Caenorhabditis elegans: one gene and its partners. The protein of the gene in region 3 purifies or fractionates together with the protein of the main gene of each other region. This does not show direct contact. Each region holds a gene or a part of one and is shown on either strand. Other genes may lie near its edges.

The links.
Region 1: the proteins of xrn-1 (region 3) and gcy-27 fractionate together in Caenorhabditis elegans (co-fractionation; one large-scale study listed by BioGRID). This does not show direct contact.
Region 2: the proteins of xrn-1 (region 3) and fath-1 fractionate together in Caenorhabditis elegans (co-fractionation; one large-scale study listed by BioGRID). This does not show direct contact.

Annotation. Positions count from the first base shown.
Region 1 is NC_003282.8:17,432,423-17,438,339, reverse strand, and holds gcy-27 (Receptor-type guanylate cyclase gcy-27), read left to right. Parts: upstream 1-1,708; coding exon 1,709-1,782; intron 1,783-2,120; coding exon 2,121-2,202; intron 2,203-2,245; coding exon 2,246-2,533; intron 2,534-2,581; coding exon 2,582-2,653; intron 2,654-2,748; coding exon 2,749-2,923; intron 2,924-3,282; coding exon 3,283-3,474; intron 3,475-3,691; coding exon 3,692-3,860; intron 3,861-3,919; coding exon 3,920-4,060; intron 4,061-4,422; coding exon 4,423-4,546; intron 4,547-4,589; coding exon 4,590-4,658; intron 4,659-4,701; coding exon 4,702-4,848; intron 4,849-4,990; coding exon 4,991-5,216; intron 5,217-5,271; coding exon 5,272-5,363; downstream 5,364-5,917. Other genes in the region: C06A12.8 (RxLR effector protein), read right to left, coding at 185-355, 401-456, 632-764, 810-881. UniProt on the Caenorhabditis elegans protein: Guanylate cyclase involved in the production of the second messenger cGMP. May be involved in sensitivity to quinine by regulating egl-4 activity through the production of cGMP.
Region 2 is NC_003279.8:10,175,462-10,179,469, reverse strand, and holds fath-1 (Fatty acid 2-hydroxylase), read right to left. Parts: upstream 2,290-4,008; 5' UTR 2,282-2,289; coding exon 2,180-2,281; intron 2,128-2,179; coding exon 1,993-2,127; intron 1,945-1,992; coding exon 1,841-1,944; intron 1,794-1,840; coding exon 1,407-1,793; intron 1,359-1,406; coding exon 1,201-1,358; intron 961-1,200; coding exon 896-960; 3' UTR 555-895; downstream 1-554. Other genes in the region: C25A1.16 (uncharacterized protein), read right to left, coding at 1-103, 152-232; nola-3 (Putative H/ACA ribonucleoprotein complex subunit 3), read right to left, coding at 234-428.
Region 3 is NC_003280.10:14,067,218-14,071,930, reverse strand, and holds the start of xrn-1 (5'-3' exoribonuclease 1), read right to left. Parts: upstream 3,025-4,713; 5' UTR 2,935-3,024; coding exon 2,728-2,934; intron 1,795-2,727; coding exon 1,694-1,794; intron 1,277-1,693; coding exon 1,069-1,276; intron 1-1,068.

The DNA of each region.
Region 1 (5,917 bases), on a different chromosome or scaffold from region 3:
TCTATTCAATTAGACCAAGATTTCATTACCGTATCTAGTTATATTTCAAATTATAGACTTTATCTCGTAAAGTTTCTTCAAGTAAGAAAGGATGTGTTGCTTTTTTTTGCATTATATTGTTCTCAGTAATTATTTTTTCATTAATACAACTGAAGCAGTAAAATTTTTTTGGCTGATGAAATTTTCAATACTCTCCATAATATCGAATTGTTTGAATTGCAAATGCATTAGTGAAGGATCGCTTGGTCCATGCGATAAACGACCGGAGAAGTAGATGACCAGGAACGTCATGAGATTCCGAAAATTTGAACTTGAAATCCTTGCCACGTGCATCTACGTGTCCAAAGCGGCGAAGCTGAAAACAGCGTTCAAAAATAACATGGGAGATGACGCAAACTACCACAAATGAGCCCAACTGTCTTTCAGAAAGTTCCGAATAGTAACGGTCAAACCAAGCTGGAAAATTATAAAAATTTTTAAACCTCTGTTCATAATAGATGACCGAGCTTTCTTTTTTTTCTCGCATCTCAAAAAAAAGAACAAATAATTTATTCGTGTTACAAGCTTCAAAGCTCGTATTTTTCGCATTGTTTCCAGGAGCCATTTTTCAACTTAACAAACTTCCACATACATTCCGAATCGAATTTAGCAGAAAAGTATTTTTCAAATTCTGTCATATTTCTTTTCCGGACAGCAGACTGTATTTTCATAAGCATTGTGTCAATTGCTCGGTCTACCGTGATATTTCTTGCAACATAAGCCGTCTATAAAATAACTGGAAAATTTAATAATCGTTTTTTCAAACTCACAGTTTTTTCGATACTTTGGAAAAGAACAATGAAAAACAAGATGGTAAAACCGAATAGACAACCAAACTTCATTGATGTTGAATGAAAAGTTTTAGTCAGAAAACTGTCGGTTTTAGGTGCAGCTTTGATTGAGGCGAACAAAACAAAATTCAAAGGTTTTATTGATATGATAATTTTATTTGTCCGCGATCAGCTAAAGATGTAAATAGTTTTTTCTTGACAATTGACGTAGAAGAAGAGAAAAATATGAAGAAACTGAAAGATGCGAACAAATACTTTAATAATTCTGGGCAAAACTTGGAAATTTTATGAAACTTTAAAAAAATAATATTTGTGCATTGATACCTTTCGCTGAAACACTAGTGTTTGAAAAAATCAGATAAAAGTTTGGCAAATTATATTCTCATGCTCGTCTGTTTTTTTCAAAATGTAATTTTGAAAGTAAATCTTGGGGAACAAAACATTATCCTTTTCAGCTGGTACAGTTTTTTGTAGGAATTACAGTTTTCTTCTCCTGAAAACTAAAACGATATTAAAAATTTTATAAACACTTTTTTCGAGTACAAATAGGTTTTAGTTACATGTTTGATAAACTTTCATAAATTAACTCGCGAAATCATAATGTTGTTTGTTTGAAATCTAGGCCAATACCAAAACCAAAATTGGCATGAGACAAGTTTTCAATTAGAACACTTTTTTCTATACTATCATCAAATGTTCCTCAAGTTTTAATGCCCGTTAGGTTGCACTTTTATTTTGTCTTTGCCTCCTCACAAGTTTTTCTTGTTAATGAGTAGTTGTGAACATACTCATCAAGTATCGGTTGCCATGGAAAAATAACTCACACATTTCAGAGTCTTTCTCGAGATACAACTTTCATTTTATTTATTTTCTACCAAATGAACAAGCTTATCACTGTCATCCGAGATTTCTCATATAGTGTTTATAATTGGTGCTACGAAACTGTAATAGGGTAATTTTCATTTTCATGATCTTCTGAAACGTTACAAAAAAAAGTTTCTTTAATTTTCTTACTGTAGCAGGTTCCAAAAAACTTTAAAAAATTTAAGTAATAAACTGAATAGTTTTTCTATTAACAGGTATGTCCATTATACTTGATAGTATGAATGAAAGTTTGTAATATTTTTCTCGTCAGTATACTCCATCAAGTGTAGTTGTCGCTACTGCGAACGAGTTTTTTAAAATTTTAAAAGAACTGCCTTATCGATAAAGTCATAAAATAATTATATTTTTGAGGAGTTTAATAAACAAAACGTTTTTGTTCCCTTTGAAAGTCATTTAATATTTCAGGGAAAATACTCGGAAGTACAAGATGACATGGAAAGTTCCAAAGGAATCTTTGAAAATTATTGTTAACAAGAATGCAGATGCGGTAATAAAATTCAAATTACCAGTAAATGCGTCTTTAAATTTAGAGAATGCAACGTGAACTTGAAAATAGAACAGCAAAAGATGAAGCAAATGCTTTAACATCACGACGAAGGGTATTTGGCTCATATGCTCTAATTGGCACCCAAAGAGCAGAGTTTATTCAGTTTCGACAAATTAAACATATCGATATCACTAATGCTTCTTTAGACTTTTTGTATAACTTAAAGCAACTGAAACATGACAATCTGGCAAACTTCTATGGTATTCAATTGAATGATGATCTCAACACAATGACAATTTTACACGCATTAGTGGAACGAGGAACACTGGAGGTACAAGACTTACATTTCTCAGTAATTAGAAAATCAGGCTAATTCAAGGAATTTTGTTTGGATCGAGATTTCGGTATGGATGAAACGTTCAAATCCGCATTTATGAGAGATATTTTGAAGGTAACATTTTGCGTTATTCATTAGACTCCATGAACAACTGAAGATTAAAAAAAATAATTCTATAATAAAAATCACAAATCGATTGTTAATTCAAGGGTCTTCAATATCTTCACCTATCTCCTGTTGCGTATCACGGTCATCTTCACGCAGCCACTTGCCTAATAGATATAAATTGGGTACTGAAAATTGCATTATATGGGGTCACAAACTTTGTGTGTGATAACTTCGACGCAGAAAATATAACGATGCCAGATAGAAGTGACTATACTAGTGAGTAATTCAAAACAATGTGCAAAAAAGCCAGACAACAATTTCTAAAATAGCTGATTGCGGGAAAAATTGGAAGCTGACAATAGCCGGAAATCTACAATTATCAATTTCTACACCTATTTGACTTGAATTTTCTTGAAAAATTTGTATCTTTCAATCAGAAACTGTTTTACCTGTTCACGCCGTTACTTCAACCACAACATTTACACTGAAAAACAAAGTATATTTTTATTTTTTGAAAAATAATGTTTAAAAGTTCCGAAAAACAACAATTTTGGCAATTTCCGAATTTGCCGATGACCGAAAATTTTTGGTTGCCACCTACCCCAAGAATATATGCCTTCTTTTCTTATTTTCAGTATCTTACGCGCAGTATGTGTGTTTTCCGCCGGAGCATATTCGAGAATATGATGCTACTGGAAAACTGCCAACCAGATTTGTAAGAGGCAGTAAACAAGGCGATATTTATTGCGTTGGAATGATTTTTTATATGATGATCGAACGTGAAGATCCATATCGACTGATTCACTCAGTTGAGCGACCGGGTTCTGGTAAGTTAGTTGAGAAGTTGCAATGGGTCAAAATGAGTCGACTCGCAAACAAATGAAGACCAAATCAAATGAAACTCAAATGAGGACCGTTAAATATGACAAACTAGGATGTTCTTTGACTTGCCGCAATATAACCTCCTTGCTAATATGCCTAACTCAAAGAGCTTTGTCACCTTTATGCTTGGTCTAGAAAAGCATCAGGGAAATTTATCTTAAGGTCTCATGATGGAAATTCTTGATCACAATCTCATGCCATTCATTTCAAACAATGAAACACAAGAGGACACTCTGCTGGATAAATGTAAAGAATGCTGGAATAGAGATCCGGAAAAGCGACCGACAATTGAAAATCTACGAAACGCAATTGCAATATGTTACGCTGATTCGTATGTTTTTTAAAGAATTACATTTTGTTTTTCAAATAATTATACAGGAAAATTTCCAGAAAAGGAAATTTAATCGATCAAATGATTAGAATGAATGAGAAGTATGCCGATGAGCTCGAAACCCTAGTTGCGGCAAGGTCTGCTGATTTGGCCCTTGCACAGATGCAAACAATGAGATTGCTAAATGAGATGCTGCCAGCGTAAGAACATTATTTTATCACCATTATAGTTTGCTTTTACAACCGACCTCCGGCTGACTGGCTCCACAGCTTTTTCGGAAGTAACTTCACAGTGCTTGTATTCACAAAGAAATCTAGTTTACCCAACAAAACTAGTATTGTCACTGCGACTTTGTTTGATTGTAACTACAATAGTCCAACATAACCGAATATCATTAACATCACTACAAACATTTCAATATTTTTAAAAACTTTCGTAGAAGTAAATTGTAAATTAAAGTTATTGCAGAAAATACAGAAATCGATAAGCAAATAACAAAAATAAAACAGAGACATTCAGTATTATCTCATTATAAGACATAAAATTGTTTTAAAAATTACAGGAGTATTGCAAAAGACTTGAAAAACGGAGTAATCGCTCCCGCTAGAAGTTATGCATCGGCAACGGTTATGTTTGTCCAAATATGTGACTTCATTGTAATTTTGAAGCGACGTCCTCCAAAAGAAGTTGGGATTCCGTAAAGTTGTTAAATAATGTTTATTTTTCTAGGTAATTGGCTTTCTCAATGACATTTTTGATCAGTTTGATACTGTAATCAAAAGGCATGACGCTTATAAGATTAGTTTTCAGTGACATTTCGTTCCCCAATATGTGAATTCAGGTTGAAACTACTGGCGAAACCTACATGGTGGCATCCGGTGTACCCAACGAGAATGAAGGACGGCATGTATTCGAAGTCGCGGAAATGAGTTTGGAAATTCGTGCTATATCGTTGTCATATACACTAGAAAATGACAAAAACTACAAGGTTATTGTCAAGGGAAAATATCTTATAATTGGGTTATACAATGCATTTTTAAAATGAAAACAAGTTTTTACATAATATTTTAAAATTTAGTTGCCCAATATAAGGCAAAGCACTGCGATTAATTATAATTCATTCGTTTCAGCTTCGAGTTCGAATAGGATTCCACGCAGGTCCTATTGCTGCCGGTGTAATCGGAATTAAAAATCCTCGCTACTGTCTTTTTGGTGACACTGTAAATTTCGCGTCCAGAATGCAATCAAACTGTCCTCCCCTGCAAATTCAAACTAGCGAAATTACAGCAAGAATGCTATTGGCCACTCATGAGTATAAACTGGTGAAACGAGGGATAGTTCATGTCAAAGGAAAAGGTATGTCAAACACAATTTTATATAAACTTTTAAATATTTTTGTTTTTCTATGTAGGTGAAGTGAATTGCTACTGGCTTAACGAGCACATACACAAGGACGAAGAAATCGAGGAATCGGGCACAATATCCCATCCCTTAGAGTCGTGAAAATTTTTTAAATCTATTTTTTTAATTCATATACGTTTCTCTAAAAATGAACGTTTAAATAATTTTGCAAAAGCGTTTTCTTACAAAAAAAAAGCCTTTTATGACAACATATCGAAATAACAATAGTTTTTCAAATAAATTCTTTGAATTTTGAAGATCATCCAACTATTTTTCCAAGGTCCACCGATGTTTGTATGCGCAAAAATTTAAAACTAAAAGTAAAAGGTTGAAAACGAAAAGACGGTGACAAGTGGTTAATTATTTGCTCAGAAAAACATAAAAGAGAACTAGAGTTTGTTATAAACGGACACTACAAACTATAAGGCCAGAAGTTGGAGAATTGTAAAAGTTTGAAGTGTGTAAAACTTTAAAAATATGTGAAAACTATAATGTGTTATTTTTCTTCCATATTTTCCTAGTCCAATGTTAAATAAAAAACAATCATTCGGTGCTCTACTAATAAACATTAGCAGAAATCATGATTTTTTTTCTTTTCGAGGCATAGTTAAATCATAGAATAGTAGTTGGTAAACTCAATTAAAACATGGTTTGAT
Region 2 (4,008 bases), on a different chromosome or scaffold from region 3:
GCTCATCGACAGTCCAAAGGAACATATCGTTGAGAGTATAACCAAAAGCTTTCCATCCAACGAAGAAAAGAACAAAAGAGACGATGATACGACGACGAGACACCTGAAATTATAAAATATCGTTTGGAAAAATGCGAGATTTGTAAATTACCTGTTGATAATTGATAGGTTTATTGGGGGTGAAAGAGCGGATTTTTTGCCGCAACATGCGGCGCCACTCCCAAACCAGCATTTTAGCAAACGGTCTTTGCCTTCTGGGTTGGCAAGAGTCCGAAGCGCTTCTTGATGATGATGCGATATTTGGAGTTCTTGTCTTCCGGCGAAAAGCGAGCTGGATGAGCGGTAAGAGTTTGCTCTCCAGATGGAGCAGTTCTCTTCAAAGTGTACACTCTTTGTTGGTTCTCGTCCAAGAAGTATCTCAAGAACATTGTCCGTTGAAAGTAGACTGAGTTCTGAAACTATCAATGATTTCTAAAACTTCTGAAACTATAGAGAAATATGAAATAAATACGGCGCATTGCAACGAAAAAAAGAATTAGCGAGAAAGAATGAAGGGGTGATTTCATTAGATATTTTTAAAAATTATTCCAAATTTCACGCATAACAGAAAGAAAACAAAACAAGAAGGAATATCACAAAATGTTTGATGGAAACCGGTAAGAAGTGAGGATAATAGGCACGTGCTGAGTAGCTGATCTATATAGATAAAATGTGAAAACAAGTTGAACTAATCTGGCGTACGAGAAAAGAAAAGGTAAATCGATAAATATATATGTACAACGGGTATAGTGGATCGTGAGAAAAGTGAATCGGGACAAGAGACTTAGAGATAAAAAACGTGAGGCAGAGTTCACTCAATAAACAACAAATTTTCCGAAAAAACATCTATGTATTATTATAATGGGCCCATTCCGAGTGTGTGGAAAACATAATCCCAAAGAGAAGTCGAAATTCCGAAGCCTGAAAAATGAAAATAGGCCTGAAATAGGGAAAATGATAGAAAAATTTCGATTGCGAAAATGAAAGTGCAAACGCGCTCCATCGCAAATCTGTGTAATTTTCCGTCAGAGAACATTATATTTCACGACAATTTGCAGATTATAGAAAATCTCAATTAAAAAACAGTTTTTAATGTTCTTGACTTAAAAATAACAAATTAAAAATTGATTTTTAAACAAAATCCCGTTAAATGTAACTTACCGACGTCAAAGTTTTTGAAGTGGTGATTATGATGATATACTTTTCTAAAATGTAAATTGCTGCGTGGACGAGGACTTCCGTGATGTAAATAATAGTGTACCATATCGTAGGTTACATATCCAAATAACTTTCCAGCGCCAAACGCGCAAAACACTGGCCTAAAACGATTAACTGAATATGGGAACCAGGAAAGGTTTAATACTGACCATTGGAAGGTATTGGAGTAGATTAAATAGAAAATTCCAACAATCAAAGTAGCTGGAACCGGAGGGAACACAAGGCGGTCTCCGTCCATCGGTGTTTTATGGTGAAGTCCATGAGCCAAGAAATGAAGAAGAATCTGATTCGGCGAATCTGGAGACGGCTTCCAATGGAAAACCCATCGATGAAGACTGTATTCAGTGAGAGTCCATGTCAAAACTCCAATGACGAACCAGGCAGACCACAGGAGAATCGAGTTATAAACATCGGTGGATGTTGAAAATGAGAGCACTGAGAGGATAGAAAAAGTAATGACGATCGGCATCCAAACAGCAGGGACCACCCACCAAGCTGTTCTTGTCATGCTTTCCAACACATCCGAATCGAAAAGTCTGAAAAAAAGTGAAAATTTGCATTGAAAAGTCGAGATCATCAATACCTTAAAGTTCCATCATATGGTTGATGAATCCAATGCCAATATTCAGAGCCAAGAGATCCAACTTTGAAAAGCATTCCGGATTTAGACTCAATCAATGGATCACCCTAGAATTTTAGAAATATTAATAATTAGATTTGATGGAAGGAACGAACTTTTTGAATTGCATTCACATTATATCTCTCGAGCATATTATAAGCGGCTTCCGAGTGCTCATGACGTACACCCATTATCCTTTTTTCTCCTCTGATAAATTCTCCAATTTCTTCTCCAGCCAAACGATTCAGAACCTATAAAAAGTTTGAGATTAGTAAAATATCCTAAAACTTGAAAAAAAGTTACCTTGGCACCTCCCGGATGTTTAGGCGCAAAATCAGCAATGTCATAATATTGCCCGTCGAGTTGTACTAGCAACGGCTTCTTCTCATCTGCTCCTATCCCCATATTTTCCACTGAAATATAGAAAATTATAAATTACGAAACGTTATAAATATAGAAAATATGAAACGGGGAAAGCAATATGATCATGATCTCATAGTAGAAAAATAAGTAGCAAAAGGAAATGAGCACATTCACCAGAAAACGTCATTTTCCGGTCAAGAAAAGCAGCCATATGAATTGAGGTTAGGGTATATTATGGGGACGCAGAAAAAATACCTATTCAAATTGAAGTGCAAAGCGCGCCGCCTCCGGGCCATGGGTCTCGGTAGGAAGTTGGCGGCAGAACTCATTAATTCAGACGTTTTTCAATTAGTTTCATATTAAAAAATTTTTGTTATGTTTTAAGTTGATTTTAAAGATTTCTTGTTTAAGAAATTAATGTTGTTTCATTTGACTAAAAATTCATGTCAGAATTTCAGCATCAAAATCTTTAAAAACAACATAATAAAAAAACGAAAAACACTATTAAAACGTTTCGATTGAAGGTTTTTCCGTCAAATACCTAACGAGACCCATGGTTTGGGGGCGGAGCGTATCATGTTTCTGCGTCCTCATAATATCACGAGTGAAGGAGCTGTTCGAATCAAAAAAGGTATAACGAGATTGCAGAATGGATTGTTTTTCAGTATTCACCTGCTTCAGAAAAGTGATGATTGATAGCTGGAAATACTTGAAAACAACTGAAAATAGAATAAAAATCTCTGCTACATTGCTATATTGAATAATTTCTCTCTCTCTCTGAGTCGGAGCAGGAAATGCACGTAGGTTCTCATTTAATTAGGTAAATCAACACCGAAAGAAAAGGGAAGCAAGTAGACGAAACGGGAAAACATAGTATTACATGAATTCTGCAAGGGATTCAGAGCACATACATATAATAGCATAGGAGAGAGCCGACACAAGAGAGGTGGGTGGTGGAGCAGGAGATGAAGGTGAAGGGTTTCTGAGCAAATTTGAAACATGTGCATTGGACATCAAATGTGTAATTTTGATATGTTGCACTTGGTCTTTGTGTTGGCCTGAGTCTAGTTAAAAACATTGGAACAATTGAGACATATCTGCCTCAAGTAATCATAGTTTCTGAGCTTCGAAATTTCTCGGTTTAATATAATTTAATTTAGAAATCTTGCAGCAGTTAAAATACGAGTTAAAATATATGAAAACACAAGTTTTGGAACTACCACAACTACGATTATATAGAAGACTGAAGAGTTTTCTGGCAAACAAACTGTCATTTTCCCACGATTTTCCTAGTTTTTCTAGACACAAATCGGGCACAATTGTGCCCGTTGGTACGAATACTTAATGAAAAATGTGCCATCTCAAATAAACCGAGCCTTTATAAATATATATTTGCAAATTGTGTGAGCCTTTTCCTATTTAAGCGGAGATGGCAGACGCTGAGGATGAAATATTCAAAAATTGTCCAGGATGTCATTCTGGAGCATTTAAATATTTTTGTAATTTTTAAGGATGTTAGTGTGGAATCTGAAGAGTTAATCTATATGGAAGGTGATGGAAGTTTGATTTAAAGTATCATAGCACCCGGGTTAAAAGAGTAGAGATTGAAAGAGCAAACTAGAGCAAGTGACCTAATTGAATTGAATTCAACGAGATAAAATGTGCGGAATGAGAGTGCGAGCCTATGTATGTGCACGGGCTCTTCGTCAGAAACGGGGGCAAACAATGGGGTTGAATATTTTGCCACCCCGTCTATCGTCCATCCTTCC
Region 3 (4,713 bases):
TTTTTTTAAATGCAAATTTTAATGCATTTTTTCTGCCGAATTTCTAGATCATTTTCCATGAAATTTGCTACAAAATTCATCAAAATAGATGAAAATTTGAGTGTTTTGGCATTTTTTTTTCTCGTTTTTAGCCGCTTATTTCGCGGTTTTTTCGGCAAAAAAATCAGTTTCTGAGCCAAATTTTCCGAATTTTCCGGCTCCCTGTCAGATTTAGTGAAAAGCGAATTAATTTTTCCTTCAAAAAATGAGAAAAATTGATTTTTGAGCAAATTTCAGCTATTTTACATCAAAAACGTACAAATTTCTATTTTTTTCGCCCTAAAATCCGAATTTTCTAAAAAATTTCAAGAAAAATTGCAATTTTTCGCTTTCCGAATCTTTTTTAAATAATAAAAATTTGAAATTTAACACTTTTTTACTCAAAAACCCGGTTTTTAGCATTAAAATAGACGAAGAAACGTGATTTTTTCTTGATTTTAAGCCAAAATTGGCTTGAAATCTGTGAAATTTTTTTTCGAAAATTCGAATAAATAAACGCTTTAAAGCAAAAATTCAGTTTTTTCTCTAAAAAAGTTCGCAAAATTTCACCTAAAGGCCCAAAACACCGCAATTTTTAAAGCAAAAATATACAAATTTTAACGTTTTTATAAAAAAAATTGGACTAAAATGCTGATTTTTAGCTCTAAAACATAAAAAAAAATCGGGTTTTTTTTGTTGAAAAAACACTTCATTTTTGGGTCTAAAATCCAAAATTTCCTGAAAAATTGCAATTTTTCATCGATTTTTTCCTAAAAAATATGAAAAAAAATTGACTTTTGAGCAAATCTGAGCTCCAAATTCGATTTTTTTGGTCAAAAAAAATTTTTCAGCCATTTTGTTGGATTTTATCGCAATTTTCACAGCAAAATTGTAAAAAGTACCACTTTTTTTTTGCTGTAAAATCCAAATTTTCCTAGAAATTTCATCAGAAATTGGAATTTTCATCAATTTTTTCCTGAAAAATTTAAAGAAAATTGATTTTTGAGCAAATCTGGAGCTCAATCTGAAGAGAGCCATCATTTTCCTCACATTGTGACCGCTGAGAATAATTTTTCGGCCTTGCCAACGCGAATCGGTCGCCGATTTCGTTTTAATCCAATCGTCAAGCTTCTGATGAAGCCGTGTCATGAAATATGTGCCCGGGGTGATACAATTCGAGTCGAATCGAGCTTCAGATGGCATAATTTCGCCATTTTCCAGCGCTTTTGCGAGTTGAGTATGGGCTGTTCGGGCTGACCTGGAAAAATTGCAATTTTTGCTAGATTTTTTGAGCTTTTCTGACGTTTTTGAGCCGAAAAAAATTGAATTTTTTGAGTAAAAAAGAACAAAAATTGGATTTTTTTCAAATGAAAAAGCACAATTTTTGGTTATTTCTGACATTTTTGCGCCGAAAAATTGAATTTTTTGCAGTGAAAAATAACAAAAATTGGATTTTTTTTTTAGGTGAAAAATCACAAATTTTGGACATTTTTGCAGTTTTTGAGCCGAAAAATTGAATTTTCAAAGTGAAAAATACAAAAAATTGGTTTTTTTAATGGAAAAATACGAAAAAAATGAGTAGTTTTCCAATGTAAAAGCACAATTTTTTGGTCAAAAATCGCCAATTTTTCACCAAATTTCCTTTTTTCCTGCTAAAAGCAGCTCTTCCACATACATGAATCGTCTCGCCCGTTGCTGATTCATTTTTGCTCGCGGAGCCACACCGTCGACGGCCATGAAGAACACCTTTTGCGGGCGAATTAGATTGTAGAGATTCTGAAAAGAGAAAAATATCAAATTTTGTCATTTTTTACAGCAAAATTTGAATTTTTTGAAAAAAAAATTCAATTTAAACGGGAAAAATGCGCACTAAATCGTGATTTTTCAGACAATTTTCTGCTGAAAAACCGCCAAAATTCGATTTTTTGGTGATTTTGCAGTTTTTGGACATTTTTTTTCATCGTTTTCAACATTAAAATCGCCTTTTTTCGGTGAAAATCGATCTGAAAACCGCCAAATTTCTACTTTTTCAACAGTAAAACTATCGATTTTCGGCGGCAAATTTTAATATAAAATCCAAAAAAAAAAAATAGGCAAAAACTGCCCGAAATCAGGGATTTTAGTAAAAAACTGTAAAATCTTGTCCTCGGGGAGTACACGAGCCGTGTAAATCGACACATGGCCGTGGCCGAGATCCAGAAGGCCGATTCTTCCATTTTCAGACGTAAATAAGCTCAAAAAATCCAATTTTTGGCGGGTTTTTGACAGAAATTTGATGTTTTTTTTTCAAAATGTTCCGTTTTTAGGGTTAATTTTCTCCGTTTTTTGTGAAATTCCCTGTTTTTGAACTAATTTTCGCTGTTTTTTTGTGAAATTCCTTGTTTTTGAGCTAATTTTCGCCGGTTTTGGGCTAATTTTCGCCGTTTTTAGCCTAATTTTCGCCGGTTTTTTTTTTGCAAATTTCGCTCTTTTTTGTGAAATTCCCCGTTTTTGAACTAATTTTCGCCGTTTTTTTTTGCAAATTTCGCTCTTTTTTTTTTGTGAAATTCCTCGTTTTGTTTGCAAATTCCTCCATTTTTTGGCAATTTTCGCCGTTTTTAGCCTAATTTTCGCTCTTTTTTTGTGAAATTCCCCGTTTTTGAACTAATTTTCGCCGGTTTTTTTGCAAATTTCTCCGTTTTTGGGCAAATTTTTTCGGCGGCTCTTTACCTCAATATACGCGAAAATATTCACGAAAATCTCGTCTTCCGTAATTCGAAACGTGACGTCATCGTCATTCGGATGCGAGCAATTATGAATAATTCCATTCATATCCAAATACAAATTGTCGAATTCCGGAATTTGCGATTCGTTGATCACTTCACTCAGACACGGATATCGCTCCGATGTCCATCGGTAGAACTTGGGGACACCCATTTTCGGCGGGTTTTTGGCGATTTTTTGATCAATCCGTTAATTCTAGCGATATTCTAGATACGAGGAAGGGGGTTTTCTAGTCGAATATCTGAAAAAAATGGGGGATTTTTGAGGCGGAAAATCGATAAATTGACGGGCAAAATCAAGAAAAACACAATTTTTTATGTGGAAAATCCCAAAAAAAAAAAGCGCTTTTAAACGACGATTTTCTGTTAATTTTCGAGTTGGATTTTTGCGGAAAGTCATGAAAATCCCATTTTTATGCCAGAAATCTCGATGATTTTGCTTTGAAAACGTGTTTTTTTTCTTCAAAATCGGAATATCTGAAAAAATGGGGGGTTTTTGGCGGAAAATCGATAAATTGCCTCGGTTGAAATCGTGAAAAATTCAATTTTTTATGGAAAATCTCAAAAAAAAAATCGCATTTTCTGCAAACTTTCGAGCGAAAAATGAGATTTTAAACGATTTTTACGTCGATTTTTCATGAAAATGTCTATAAAATTATCGAAAAATCGATTTTCTGGCGATATTTTCCAATTTTCCACTAAAAACTCGTGTTTTGTGATACGAGGGTGGTTTTCTAGTCGAATATCTGGAAAAAATTGGGGATTTTGAAAATTGATAAATTGTCTCGGTTGAAATCGTGAAAAATTCAATTTTTTATGGAAAATCCCAAAAAAAAACCGATTTTTTTCGTACTTTCAAGGAAAAATGAGATTTTAAACGATCTTTACGTCGATTTTGGCGATATTCTTTTTTTTGTCTAATTTCAGAGTTTTTCGACTCAAAAAGCTAGTTTTTAGTGTTTTTGGTTGAAAATTGGCATATTTTTTTTTGTGGTTTAATTTGAAAATACCGCCAGAAAATCGACTTTTTGATGGAAATTGGTGAAAATTGCACTCAAAAAATGAAAATTCGTCGATTTTTGATTGATAAATCTAATTTTTATCTTAATTTTTTCGATTTTGAAGTGGCAATCACGTTTTTAAAGCAAAAAATTCGAGATTTCTGGCAAAAAAAGGGTTTTTCATGACTTTCGGCAAAAATATTTCGAAAATTAACAGAAAATCGCTAAAATCGACGTAAAAATCGTTTAAAAGCGCATTTTTCCTCGAAAGTACGAAAAAAATCGGTTTTTTTTGGGATTTCCCATTAAAAATTGAGTTTTTCTTGATTTTACCGGTCAATTTATCAATTTTCCGCCAAAAATCCCCAATTTTTTCCAGATATTCGACTAGAAAACCTCTCGTATCACAAAACACGAGATTTTAGTGTTTTTTCATGAAAATGTCTATAAAATTATCGAAAAGTCGATTTTCTGGCGATATTTTTCAATTTTCCACTAAAAACTCGTGTTTTGTGAGACGAGAGGTATTCTAGTCGAATATCTGGTGATTTTTGGCGGAAAATTGATAAATTGACGGGCAAAATCAAGAAAAACTCAATTTTTAATGGAAAATCCCAAAAAAAAAAACACCGATTTTTTTCGTACTTTCAAGGAAAAATGCGCTTTTAAACGATTTTTACGTCGATTTTAGCATGAAAAACCCTTTTTTTTGCCAGAAATCTCGAATTTTTTGCTTTAAAAACGTGATTGTCACTTTAAAATCGAAAAAATTAATATAAAAATTAGATTTATCAATCAAAAATCGACGAATTTTCATTTTTTGAGTGCAATTTTCACCAATTTCCATCAAAAAGTCGATTTTCTGGCGATATTTTCAAATTATAAACCACAAGAAAAAATATGCCAATTTTCAACCAAAAACATTAAAAACT